2 linked regions of the Nothobranchius furzeri genome follow. The protein of the gene in region 1 purifies or fractionates together with the protein of each later gene. This does not show direct contact. Links are inferred from orthologs where the notes say so. Each region holds a gene or a part of one and is shown in the gene's direction. Other genes may lie near its edges. The genes, in order: wdr19 and ift122.

What was found.
Region 2: the proteins of wdr19 (region 1) and ift122 purify together in Homo sapiens (affinity purification with mass spectrometry; 4 studies listed by BioGRID and IntAct, counting the BioPlex papers as one, with this or other methods). This does not show direct contact. The link is inferred for Nothobranchius furzeri from reciprocal best matches to the Homo sapiens genes WDR19 and IFT122.

The regions. Positions count from the first base shown.
Region 1 is NC_091742.1:74,695,314-74,702,420, reverse strand, and holds the start of wdr19 (WD repeat-containing protein 19), read left to right. Parts: upstream 1-2,096; 5' UTR 2,097-2,217; coding exon 2,218-2,223; intron 2,224-3,100; coding exon 3,101-3,192; intron 3,193-3,273; coding exon 3,274-3,339; intron 3,340-3,417; coding exon 3,418-3,543; intron 3,544-3,640; coding exon 3,641-3,759; intron 3,760-3,848; coding exon 3,849-3,964; intron 3,965-6,399; coding exon 6,400-6,480; intron 6,481-7,107. UniProt on the Homo sapiens protein: As component of the IFT complex A (IFT-A), a complex required for retrograde ciliary transport and entry into cilia of G protein-coupled receptors (GPCRs), it is involved in cilia function and/or assembly.
Region 2 is NC_091755.1:54,410,989-54,418,050, forward strand, and holds the end of ift122 (intraflagellar transport protein 122 homolog), read left to right. Parts: intron 1-1,448; coding exon 1,449-1,589; intron 1,590-1,676; coding exon 1,677-1,774; intron 1,775-2,630; coding exon 2,631-2,731; intron 2,732-3,617; coding exon 3,618-3,783; intron 3,784-3,871; coding exon 3,872-3,989; intron 3,990-4,072; coding exon 4,073-4,201; intron 4,202-4,752; coding exon 4,753-4,829; intron 4,830-4,946; coding exon 4,947-5,111; intron 5,112-5,237; coding exon 5,238-5,324; 3' UTR 5,325-5,463; downstream 5,464-7,062. Other genes in the region: rhodopsin, read left to right, coding at 6,381-6,741, 6,819-6,987. UniProt on the Homo sapiens protein: As a component of the IFT complex A (IFT-A), a complex required for retrograde ciliary transport and entry into cilia of G protein-coupled receptors (GPCRs), it is required in ciliogenesis and ciliary protein trafficking.

The DNA.
Region 1 (7,107 bases):
GTAATAAGATAACCCCAATAGAGCCAACAGATATAAAGTCAGTCTACAGTGTGATAAAATGCTACAAGAATTATTACAAGTTCACGTTTGATGTTTTTCAGGCTCTTTTATGAAAGAAACTGAACCTGGTTTGTTGCTAAACAGGAAAGGAAGTTTATTATAGCGATCAGTTCACATTTTCTTCAAAAAGCTCCTCAAGATCTGACTGTAAACATAAAAACCTGCAGCGAGAGAAAACTGTTTCCTCTTAAACGAAATAACCAATCGTAGAAGAGCCCTTCCAGCCAATCAGAGGCGAGAAAAGGCGGGACCTTCCTTGGATATCCTAGAATTCCAAATGACGCAGACGGGTCGCACTGAAAACGAAGTTTGTTTAACCCTCTAGTTAAGAACGACGTCTCCTGGGTTGTGTTTATTCCCACCAGAGGACCAGAAATGTGTTTTAGAAAACGGCTGTTTTCTTTAAAGGTGAAAATCTTGGTTTAGATATAAACGTGTTATCGTCAGGGACACGTGCTACATCACCACCAGCCAGGTGAATTGACGTAAATGACAAGTGGGAAGAAAGAAATCACTGAAAAAGTATTAAAACTCTGTCAATGTACCAGAATCACACTGTCAAATTAACTACAAGCAATGCTATTCTCTGTGAAAGGCACTTAGTAGGGCTATTGTAAGTCGAATTCTAATATAAATATCAGAATTATGGGGTTTGATGTGATCAAGTTTACGCATATACCTTCAGCAAGCATCTCTGCACAAGTTTTGCCAACCGCTTCGGTTCTGGCACAGTGCGACAGCCAACAAAAACAACATAAAACAAAACCTAAACGAGTGCCCTTGTATTTAAAAACATAAAAGAAATCGACGGACCTGTAAAGGAGAACACTGCGAACCGAGTCGAAGTCTTCCAAGTTCTTTGAAAATGAATTTCCATCAATAGAAAGATTAAACATCATTTGTGTCTCATGTCATCGCTGGCAGATATAGGTAACTGAGCAGTTGTAAATTAGGGTTTGAAAGCATCCAAGACCAAAGAGAATCTATCTCCTTCAGAAATGAACTTAGAAACTATTTGAATCGCTCCATGGAGTGTGAGCTGCCTTTCAGAGCCTCCCCCCAATTTCCCACGTCAATCTGTGAACCTTCTACACAGGGGCGGTTCTAGAGTGGGTGTAAAGTGGGCCAGAACCATCCTGACAACAAGCTTTGAGCCCCCTCTGTCCCTTTACCCACCCACCCACCCTGAGGGCAAAGCCTGAACAATAGTAAGTACAGATTTTTTGCGATAATTTTGCCTAATGCAAGATGTGGAACCAGCACATGTAAATGCTTTTTATCTGAAGCTGAAAAGATATTCCGAAACAAACACTTTCATGTTGTCACTGAGACAGAAAATTAAGATAAACACATGTTTTTGTCTTTGCAAAATAGTTAAATTTGAAGCCTCTAACAAATTTGCTTTTATTATATTGTCATGATTACACACAAAGAATTGAAACACTTATGGGCAATTACTTTCTTAAAAATGTGCCTCTCTAATTGAGCAGCTTACCCCTCACCTATTTTAGTCTTGAACAGTGGTACTCAATAGACGGCCCCTCTCAGGCCCCCAGACTACCAGTGTGGGCAGCAAGCAGGGAGGGTTAAGTGTCTTGCCCAAGGACAGTCCTCATGCTCATGGAAACCTGGGGCAGAGGAGCAGATGTCGAGTCTTTAGCACACCCAGGCAAAAAGAGTTGTGCAAAACTGCCATCTTATGGATTAATGATGGAAATACAATATTAAAACTCAGACGTCAAAATCTGTGAAATTTTCCATGCATCCTTAGATTTCTGACTGAAAACATTGACTCACAACATATTAGCATTTGTTTAAAAAACAATTTTTTGTAAATTTCATTAAATAAGGCAAATTTATACTTTACTATATCTTTCATTAAAATTAACCTGCTGTCACAAATTAGTGACACAGGTTTGGAATTATTCTATTACATTTTAATTAGCATCCTCGGTGCTTTCATTTTGAAATACGAACTCTGTATCTGCTGCCTCGTCTGCCTCTCAGAGGCCCCTCATTGGCTACCCCCCGTTGCCATGACATCTCCGCAGAAGACGCTTCAGAGTGAAGCATTGTGGGAAACAAACATCCCTAACGTCGAAAATGTTTTGAAAAGACGAAGGAGGTTTAGGTTGTGAGCTTTTAAAAGCCACTAAAATGAAGGTTGGTACAAAGGAGAACTTTAATACACACGTTTCTTTTGTTTTTGTGATTTCCAGGGTTGAATTGCCCTACACGAAACGGATTTAGCGAGTTTTTGGTATGCAGCTTCAAGCTAGCTCAGGCTACATTGGTTTTGTCGATAATTCCCAGTTGTTAGTTGTTGAGCTGACCAGAGAGAACATAACTGTATTTATAGGTGAATTATGATAGTACTTTAATGTTAGAGGCTAATGATAGCATTAGTTAGCTTATCGTGTCCGTTAAATGTGGCAGCATGGAAGCTTGATATGAACAATTTAGTTTTTTTTTTGTGTGATTTCTTTATATTTTGAACTGAAATTAAACAATAAATAGGGCAGAAAATTAGATAGAAAAGTACATTTAAAGAGAATGACGTGATATTATTTTTAAAGTGCGGATAAAGAAAGATAATCTCACTTTGTGGGTTTGATTAGTTATTTTCTTTATATTAAAGGCTGATTTAGAATCGATTTTTCTTCTATTTATCATAAGAATAGGGTTAAACAGCCAGAGCCCTACCTCATGCCCTTGAATTTATGACTGTTGTTTTTAGTTATCTGTATTCGTTTTTTACAATCTGTTTGTTTTTAATTATCTCATTCTTGGAAAACAAACTTTGATTTGTGTATTTATTTATGCACAGTTCAGTTCAAGGCCATGATTATTTTCCTTGTCAGGTTTAGATTTCCTGGTGTTTGTGTGAACATGATCCCGTTGCACGAATCAGTTTTGGCCAGGCTTTATTTATTAAATTTGTGACTTTGGTGTATGATTCACTCATGCAGCTGCAACACTAGAATGACTGTTTTCCCCTATAATGCCTTTAAACTTAGATTTAGTCACTTTTTGCTTCCAGAGTGTTTTCGTTCTTTCGGAAAAGGCTTGGGCAGGCTCTACTGTTCTTTACAAATGGCAGAAAAGCCTTGGAAACTACATTGCTGTTGCCGGGTGAGTAAACTGTTTCTTCTCTTAGTTCAAGATCATCATCAAAAGGGTGTTCATACATTTCAGTTGTTTCAAATCACACAGGCAGGATAACTCAGTGAAAATATTTGATCGACATGGACAGAAGTGGACTGAACTCAACCTCCCAGGGTGAGTGTAAGACGACTTGTAGGGGTTCACTTTGACCGCGTCAGCTGCTTCATATCTTTTGTCTCTCCTCACCTTTAGTCGCTGTGTGGGGATGGACTGGGACAAGGATGGCGACATTCTTGCAGTGATCGCTGCAAAATCCAGCTTAATCTACCTCTGGGATGCCAGTGTCAGTAAAATGTCACAAATAGACAGCGGGATGAGGTACAGCAGCCATGATGCAGAAAGTGAGGTAGGGAGAAAGTGTTACTCAGTTTTTAATAATCAGGATGTATTCTTCTTTTGCTGTTTTTGGTTTAAGCAAAGATCAGATGACCTTCATCCTGTGGTCTAAAGCTGGCCCTCTGTTAGCTGTTGGGACAGCAAAAGGAAACCTGCTGATCTACAACCAACAGACCTCACGCAAGATCCCCATACTGGGTAATAAACACACCGCAAACATTTATTTAATTATTTATTCATATTTACTTAATTTATAATGATCATTTGTCTTTACATTGCTACCGCAGGTAAACACACCAAGAAAATCACCTGTGGGTGCTGGAGTTCTCAGAATCTGCTGGCTCTGGGAAGTGATGACCACACTCTTAGCATTAGCAACCATGAAGGAGACACAGTCAGACAGGTAGTCACACCAACACTATATATGCGTGTAATTCATAATTTAAACAGACGTCACTACAGAATCACTTCTCCTCCAGCGTAGCTGCTACTTACCGCATGGCCAGGTTTAAAGTGGTTTCTCCATGTTTATTGCTCTTTTTGTCCTGGAAGAAGGTTTTGAAGCTCACTAAACTTACTTTGGTCTCTGTGTGGTTCGATGACGTCAATTTCTGTGAGACGAACATTTAGAGACCTGGATGTATTTTCACACCAAACCTAAAAGGCAAGGCAGCTTTATTTATATAGCACCTTACAACAGCATAAAACTGACCAAAAACAGAACTTTTGCCACCTGGTCTGTTGAAAATAAGCACATTCTTGGCATCAAAATGTGACTTTAAATTCACACATATCACATGTGAAATCCATTGCACAAATGAAACGACATCAGAAAATAACTTTTATCCTCTCATAGACTCCCGTTCTTTTTGTTTTGCTGTTGGGGACTCGTGATCTGGAAGTACATGGGCGTGACTTAGGCTCCCTATAGGCTTGAATCTGATGATACGATTCATATCAGTACAGGGGAGACGACATACTGCGATACCAGAAACAGGGCTGCAACAATGAATCAATAACAATCGATAAAAAATTAATTTGTCGTGAATTTGTTTGTGTCGTGCAACTTTTATGTAACAGTCAATGCACACAGCTCATAGGTGGCAGCAGAACAGACCGAGGCAGATCAGAACGAGAAAGAAAGCCGTTGTTTAGATGAGGAATGACAGGAAGACCTAAGAAAATTTTCTAAAGTTTGGGAGCACTTTAGATTAAACAATGCAAAGACATCTGTCACCTGCAACATATGTAAATCAGACGAGGCATGGCATGGGAGTTCGATGGTGATAATACAGCATCATCGCAAGCATATCTGAGCCATCAGCGAGGAAGGGGAGAGCTCGGTGTCTGGGTAAGTAGTGAGAAACTATGCCCTAGGCCCAGATTAATTAAAGTTGTAAACCAGGGCAGAACATATATTTCGCATGTGCGATGAAAATACACTCTGTGAGATAAACTATTTTTAGATGTACCCCACAAAAGAAATACAGTAACAGTTTGAATGTAAATTCTGAATAAAAATCGATATTCTGCTGTAGAAATATCAGTTCAGTATCATAACATGGAATATCACAATGTTTCAACGAATCATTATTATCTTGCATCTCGATTTCTATATATATGTGTTTGTGTGTGTGTGGCTTCACAATCTAACCCAGTCGGATAAGACAGTTAACCATTAATTAAGTTGCTGGGGCCTCATTTATCAAGCTTGCTTACGCACAAAACGGGGTTGGAAAACTGCGTAAGCAACTTTCCATGCAAACTTTGGGATTTATGAAAGAAAACTTAGCGGCAAAATGTGCGCAGCTTTAAGTTGACTGAGGACCTGGCTTACGCACATTTTGGACATGGAGAGCACCTGCAGTGCTGCTGCTGAGAAGGATACAATTATGAAATCCTGCAGCATTATCACTTGTACCGCTTCGTTTTCACACAGAACAAGACCCCACACATGCACACACATGCGCGCACACACTCACACACACACATGCACGCACACTCACACGCGCGCACGCACACACACACACAGCCTGAAGCGCAGAATACGGGATGCAGAATATCAGCAGGGGGACAGATTGAGACAGAATGTCATGCGTCTGTGACAGTGTGTGTCCTGTCACTGTGACCTGATTGATCATGCGCCCTGGCTACTTGGACAAGGGAGATCTCCATTTCGGTGACTGGTTAACGCATGACTTTCACCTGGGAGTCTGGGGATAAAATCCTGATTGGACCGTTTTTTTAATAACCGCCACAGATCTCTCTGAAGAATTCACAACATTGACGACTTCAGCAACGCTGTGCCACTCCGTGGATTTTCTCTTATTTATTTTGCAAAAGCACTTCCTTTCATTTCTCCACCTCACCCACAAGTACCTGAATTTCTGCTTGTGAAATAGCACTTCCTTGATCTGTGGTCGTGATCGAAATGCTGCAACAGCCGGCTTATGTATCTGCATTTACATCCACAAGGCACTTTGCATTGACCCTTTATGGCAGTAAGTGGGCGTGGTGAGGGCGGGATGTGACTAAAAAGCAGCTGAGAACATTTCTAGATAGTCTCCCATTTATGAAGCGGAGATTGCGTGCAGCTGTGCGTACTCCATGTTTGATAGATCACAAACCTGCTTGGCTTAAGTACATTTTTGTTGCTGAGCTGAAGTATGGTTTTAGTAAGGATTCTACGCGATGTTTGATAAATGAGACCCCTGATCATTAACTTAATTGTGTTAAAAGGTAAACATAGATTATTTCTTCTTATAACATGAAAACCTTTTTGTTCAAACAATCAAATTTTAGAAGAGTTAGAGTCCTGTTTCATTTTCCTCTGTTCAGACAACACTTCGAGGAGAGCCTGCTGAAATTTACTTTTCTATGATGAAGACGGATGAAAGGTCTTCTCAAGGGGAGAGCACTGTGAGTTTATTTGCTATTTTCATTGGTGTTCTTGTTGTTTGTTTCTAGATTCTATTTAAATTTCAGCACATTTAAATGAATTTCAATTTTCTGAACTGAAATGAATAGCTTTAGATTAATTCAACAGTTGTTATCAGTTAATTTCTAATGAAGAAAATCTGTAATATCTGATTCTAAACTGCATCTTTAGTGACGGTATTTGTGTGGCGAGCTGCAGACACGGCTAGTTAGATTTCAAGTAAAGCCTGATAGTTTTAATTTTTAAATTTTTATGTTTTTATTTTTTAGTTAATTACAATTTTAATGTTTTAAATTTTTATTAAATAAAGTAATTAACTCTTATTATTTTATTAGTATTTATTCTTTATTTATTTATTTACTTTTATTTATTAATTTTTTCATTTAAAATATCTTGTCTATGGCTAAGCCAAATTTTCAGAAAATTGGGGGAAATAGACATAAAACGGGCATATTTTGAAGTTTTAGGGGCAAAAACTTACTTGAATGAATAAATCATTTAAAAACTGTCTTTTAAATTTAATCAAGTCATATTTGTCACATATAGACGTTTGTTTTCTGATCTGAAACAAAGAGAAACACAAGAACTCTATAAAAGGGGCAAATACT
Region 2 (7,062 bases), on another chromosome or scaffold:
TTTTAGAGCCGGTTAAGAGCACGTAATCCTCAAAATGCCCCACATTAGGCTGCGAGTTTGTCCCTGAGCTGTCCACCAAGACGATTTGACCTAACGTCATCAACACAAACACACTGTGTTTTCATGAAAATCATAGTTGCACTTCCGTTTAGTTTATTGCGTTGTGCTCACAGTAAATCAAACGTGTTGAAGAGAAGGATGCTAACAGTGTTGTGTTTGCTAAACGTAACCAACAACAGCTGGATGTGGTTTCCCATCGGTTAGGCTCACTAATACATGTTTGCCACTAATGCATTTTGACCCCTGCTGAGATTGTGGGGGCAGGGTCACTGTTGGGGTTGGCTCCCAAAAGCTGCTTCTAATTACCCAATAACAGGAACATGACGAATAGCGCTCATGTTTATTTGGGCTTAGGAGCCAGCAGGCTTTGGTGTTTGGTATTCACAAACTGCTGTTGTAAAGGAAAAGCCTGATGGTGGTTATTCAGGATAGCAGTGGGTAGGGCTGGGCAATAAATCGAAAATTTATTGTTATCGAAATTTCTGACTCTTATCGTGATCATTTTTCTGATGTCAATAAATCTGATAATAAAAAAAATGAAAAGGTTTGTGTAGGTTGGCAGTGTTCATGTCACTTTAAGAAGCTGTACCACCTTAGTACATGTGACAGCCTCATCTAGTGGACAACATTTGTTACCTGTAGTCATCGCCTGTTATCGAGGCGAAATCCTCAATATATCGTGATATTGATTTTAGACCATATCGCCCAGCCCTAGCAGTGGTATAACTTTATTTGTAACCTTGGACACAAACGTCGTACCGTAGAAAACGCCGTAAAACCAGAACATTTCAGCGTTTTTTTTTTTTTTTCATTGGAATCTGTGTCCCTTATGGTAACCGGTATGAATTTGTATAGTGCCTTCTTTGTACTGCGTCCCACCAAGATGCTTCACAACACATTCAGTCAACCACACATTCACACGCTGGTGATGATGAGCTACAATGCAGCTGCAGCTACCCTGTGGCGCATTGAGAGAAGCAAGACTGTGGAACACTGGCACCACCGGTCCCCACGACCACCATCAGCAGGCTAGGTGGGTTTAGTATCTTGCCCAAGGACACAACAGCAGCGTTCTCTTGCAGGAGACGGGATTGATCCTGCAACCTTCTGGACAACCCGCTCTACCTCTTGAGCTACTGCTGTCCCAGTTGTATAGAACGATGTTCAAACAGGTTAGCACTGTCTAAAGCTAAAGCTAGCTTGTTTTTACTATCTGAACTGGAGCTGGGGGTCGTCTTCCTCCTGATGTGTGGAACTGGGAATTACCGTTGAACATTCTGACCAGTATGGTGACTCAGATATATAAACAAGTGTTGCTCGTCTTAAATGAACCCTCTAGTCCAAAATCACCTCAAGATGAGAGTTTTAAACTTTTCTTTCCTCCTCAGCATTTCACAAAGCTGGTCGTCAGAGTGAAGCGGTGAAAGTCCTGGAGCAGCTCACCCACAATGCAGTGGTGGAGAACAGGTTCAACGATGCTGGCTACTATTACTGGATGCTATCGATGCAGTGTTTGGACATAGCCAGAGGTGACGCGTGTCATTAACTGCACCTTGTTTTAAATTTGAATTGTGATGTTTCTCATTCTGATCCTTGTGCCTTCTCCTCCAAACCAGAAAGCGAGGAGCAGAGGGATGAAAATCTGAAGAAATTTGAACGTTTTCAGCATCTCGCTGAGCTTTACTACGTGTATCGATCTATTCAGCGCTACACGGTGAGGATGACTGTGTGAATGCTTCCTTCTCATTTCATAGGGAATGGGTTTGCTGCTGGATTAGAAACTGTCACCAGCACCTGGTTGAATTTCTGTTTTGGTTTAAACACACAACAAACATACCTTATGATCTCCACTTACTCTGACATTCAGAATAGGTTTGGCTCTGAAAGATTATCTCAATCCACAGACTGAGTTGGGATTAAGGAGGAATTAAGATAAGCTCAGAGGGCGTCAGGCAAAGTGAACAAAAGACAGAATGGAGGGCATTACGTTCAGGTCGCAGTTCACTTAAAGGAAATATCAGCTGGAAAGAGCCACCATTGTTAGACTGCTGAAACCCTCCTGACCCCTGTCGCCATAGTAACCAGTTGCTTGACGGAACAAGATGACAACCTCATCAGTGGTTCTCTCCTACCGCCGCTCCAAGCTCTCACTCGCTTACAAACAACAAATTCCCGCTTGTGAGCGCTCTGCGGGTGACCTGGCCTGTGTCGGCGCTCCTGGTTTGTTGTTTCAGCGCTTCGCTCCGCTGTGGTCACCCTCACAGTACGGAGGCATCGCTCTGATCCAGACCAGAGCAGGAAACCTCTACATGTCACGTTAACTCTCCCAGACGGGAGCTGTAGATTTCGACTATAAGCTTCAGTGATGAAATGCTTTTAGTGAACACTTTAGAAAAAAATCCTCTCTCTTTTTCTTCTGTGGCACCGTGAGGAAGGATAAGACGTGGAGGATGTTGAAAGATTGCAGATATAAATGGGATTGACCTGAGAAAATAGTTATCAGTTATTTAGGTAATTTTTAATCCCTTTCACTTCAATCTGTCATTTTTCTTTTTTCTTTTAATCTTTAGGATGAGCCCTTCAGTTCCCACTTGCCAGAGACACTCTTCAACATATGCAGATTCCTACTGAATAACCTCACCAAGGACGTACCACCAGGCATCTCTAAAGTGTATCCTTCACCTCGACAAGGTAAACCACACATAGCATGATGTGTACAGCAAGTATGGGACCTCCTTTTCTGAAAGCACCACAGCACCTTCACTTCAAGACTGGCAGAAGCAGCGGAAATAAAGAAGATAAAAGTAGGAACTGTTGGTGCCGCAGCGGCAGCCATGCTGCTGCCGGGAGAGAGAAAAGGGATGATGATGGGGAGGAGACGATGCCAGCAAGAGGCCCATTTTTGGTTTTCCAAACAAGCTCTTTGATTGCTGAATGCTATGCGTACATACACATTGAACAATGAGTTTTAATTTGAACAAACAAACAGTCAAACACACTCACAACCGTACAGACAAGTTTATGAAGTCACTCGGGACGGGTGCTGGTATGAGGAAGGAAAGGAGGAGGAAACGGGGCCGGCCTCAGCGGCTGGGGTCCTCCGTGGCCCAAGCCGAACTGTTCCAGAAGCTTTGAAGTGAGATGAATGGACTTGCTGGGACTGTGTTGGACGTTGGTTGAACAGCTAGAGACAAAGTCACAAATAACCCATGAGCTAACCAATCTGCACAATAGGAGGATGTGACTTTATTGAGAGTTTCAGAGGTAGGTGTGTAGGAGGAGCTGGAGAGCAGCTGAGTGGAAAGGAGAGGAATGGTGTTGGGTTTTAAGTGATGGAAAAGTACCAATGTAGAGATGCTGCAGCTGCAGCTCATTGACCTCCACTCACCACACGCCGAGCTGCTCCCCCAACAGGCTGTTCTCTCTCTATAATTACAAATGTGTACCAGTCTTCTTGTGAAAAATGTAAACAAGTCGGATAACGTTGCTGCAGGTGTTTTAAGAGAATTACCTAAATCCATTTTATTTCACTTTACCAACCTTGACGTGCTCATCAGTAACACCTTGTATGCTCTGACCAAGCAGAGTCAGAAACTGGGTGCGTTTAAACTTGCCAGGTATTCCTACGAGAAGCTCCAGGAGCTACACGTTCCCTCACGCTTCCTGGACTCCATTGAACTGGGCAGCCTCCAGATTCGCTCCAAGCCTTTCCATGACAGTGAGGTGAGCATGTGTGTGGTAGCTGCTCTGAAGTGCTAGCACTGACCTCTGTGTCGTCTACTGGAGGCCAAACACACTGTGTTTCCTGCAGGACCTCATTGAGATCATGATGTGCTACCGCTGCTCCACCAACAACCCCTTTCTGAACAACCAGGGGAGTGTGTGCATCAACTGCAGGCAGCCTTTCATCTACTCAGCCTCGTCATACGGTCGGTGACAGTTAAACTATTATCCTAAGGTGACATTTGCTTTTATGCTAGGCCTGTAAGTGAATTCTTGTTGTTTTGCACAGAGGTGCTGCCTCTGGTGCAGTTTTACCTGGACCAGGGTATCAGCGACGAAGAAGCCCTGTCTCTTATTGACCTGGAGGTTCCCCGCTTAGATCAGGGGAGCGCACAGGGGCCCGTTAAGGACAACAGCAGTATCCTTTAAATGTCACTCCGCACGCAAACATCTACTAACACCAAGTAACAGGTTGCTGACTTGATTTGTATTAAAAATGAAGTCCTTACTCTGCTGGTGCCCCGGCAAACTGCACATCTCTTCTAATTGAAGCATGTGGCTCTCATCTGTCTGGTGACAGTTCTAAGAAGCTGTTTAGTCTGCACTGGCCTTGATTCTGTGCTTGTGGGTAAGCTGTCAGAAGTAAGTCATCTTAGCTCTTGAGCTAATAGGGTTAGGGAGGCTCTCCTGGCTCATCTTAATGACACTAACCCTCAAAGAGCCGTAGCCACAGCCCTGGTGCGGGGATTAACCTGCATTAACCGGCAGACACTCAAGGGCACCGAGGTGTGTTGTGTTCTTGCCGGGCCTCGCTATGACTGACAGGCGCAACAGATTTTAAATGCATTGTTTCTCGAGGGTTATTTTGATCCGGCTATTTCCTGTTTTTGCAAAATCCTTGCATCGTAAAAGATGCTAAGTTATATAATGTGCACTGGTTATTTATTCGTCCTTCATTTACACAAACAGAACTACAAGCTTTGAGGATGGCTGATGGTTTAGGTGTTACGGAGGAAGATCCGTTTACAGCCAAAATGAGCTTTGAGGTAGGAAAAGGACGGCTGGAGTAGATGAGGTGATTAATATTCAGCCAGCTGGGCGAACCAGCTGGAGAGGGTGAAAGGACGGAGTTGGTTAGAGGGTGTGTTTGTGTGTCCAAACAGCAAGGGGGCTCTACCTTTGTCCCAGTCAAGGTGAGCCGTTCGGTGCTGGGCTCCATGAGCAGAAGGGACGTCCTGATCAAACGCTGGCCCAAGCCACTCAAATGGGAATACTTCCGCTCCCTGCTGCCGGATGTCAGCATCACCATGTGCCCCAGCTGCTTCAAGGTGCAGCATTTACACACTCCTCTTCTAGTGAAAATTCAACTTCACCTATGTTTTAATTTTGATTATCTTTTCAGATGTGATTATTGTAGCGTGCTTCCATGCTTCCCTCTCTGTGTTCTCTTGTAGATGTTTCACAGTGAGGACTATGAGCTCCTGGTGCTGAAGCACAGCTGCTGTCCCTACTGCCGCAGACCCATCGACGAGCCAAACTGATCCTCTTTACATGGGAGACACTTTACTTTTTGTACCCTGGAGAAAGCTAGTATTTTATTTTCTGCATTTATGTAAAGTAATGAGCATGTTTGTTGTGTGTAAACCTCTTAAGAGCAGCTCTGTTACCCAAAGATGAGTGTTTGTTTAGGTCTCGGTCATTAGAAAGCACCATCAATCCAACAGGATTAAAAAGATTAGGTTACCTTAAGCTGTGAGTACATCATAACTTTGTGTACGACCTAAAACGATGTAAAAATTAAACTTGTTTTGCAGATCTTCTTAACAAGTAAGATCTAATATTTATGTGCATTTTTTCATTTTTTTTACAGCTGTTTAACTACGATAAGTTGTTGTTTATATTGTACAAGTCCCGTTAATAAAACGTCTATAGATTTGTGATCGCTGTGGTTTTTATTCATGAAAAACTTGAGTGTTAATAACTTTTCCTCTTCCAGTTTGAACCTTTGTGTTTGTGAAGGAGCTGGAGGGAACGAGAGCACATAACCCTCTGATTACACCTCAGGCTATAAGAGGAGCTCTGTGCTCGGCGCTAGTTAGGGATTAAGCTTTTACAGATGCAAATAAGTTGGATTGCTTCAGAAATTTCACTTGTAGTCTGTCCACTCTGAGTGGTTGAAGTCAAACCTTCCTCTCTTCTTTTTCTAATGCAGCAGTGATGCACATGATTGTAGTTAATGGGTTCATTTAACCACGGTTATAACTTCTCACTTTAAATTTTGCTGTGCTTCTTTCTGTGATTTTACTTTTCCTTCCTAGAGTTTTCCCCCTGTGACACTTTGCGTGTTAACGCTGCACCGACACCCTTAGACCGTGTCTTAATTCCATCTCCGCTAACACTTCGTTTCATCCTCATCTCTAATCCGCCAGCGCTATTAAAAGGTGCTTGCTCCTCCTCCAGGGGCTGTGAAGAGCCTATTTTTTGGGGTCAGTCCCTCATTTCCACCTTGGTTGCACCACAAGGCTGGGTAATAGTGCTTCTGCGAGGCACAGCTTGTTTGGTCCAGACCTCAGAGGAAGAAGAGGACAACAGCAGCCATGAATGGCACAGAGGGACCCAACTTTTATGTCCCCATGTCTAATAGGACTGGGTTGGTACGCAGTCCGTTTGAGTACCCTCAGTACTATCTGGCCGAGCCATGGAAGTACTCCCTTCTGGCTGCATACATGCTGTTCCTCATCATCGCCGCCTTCCCCATTAACTTCCTCACCCTTTATGTCACTGTCGAGCACAAAAAGCTGAGAAACCCTCTGAACTATGTCCTGCTCAACCTGGCGTTGGCCGACCTCTTCATGATAGTCGGAGGCTTCACGGTCACTCTGTACACGGCCCTGCACGGATACTTCATCTTAGGTGTCACCGGCTGCAGCGTTGAGGGATTTTTTGCCACACTAGGAGGTAAGTGCCGTGTTGTCCCCATTGGGTTGTGGTATTTGTGCTGTAGTGAAATGGACCTGCTTTGTCTCGTGTCCCAGGAGAGATCGCCCTCTGGTCTCTGGTGGTTTTGGCGATAGAGCGCTACGTTGTGGTCTGCAAGCCGATGACCAACTTCCGCTTTGAGGAGAAACACGCCATTGCTGGCCTGGCGTTCTCGTGGGTCATGGCCCTGACCTGTGCGGCCCCCCCTCTCTTTGGATGGTCTCGGTAAAAACTGCTTTGATGATTCAGATCAGCAGCGACACATGCATGAAACAGACTTGCAGCATCAGATTTAGAGTA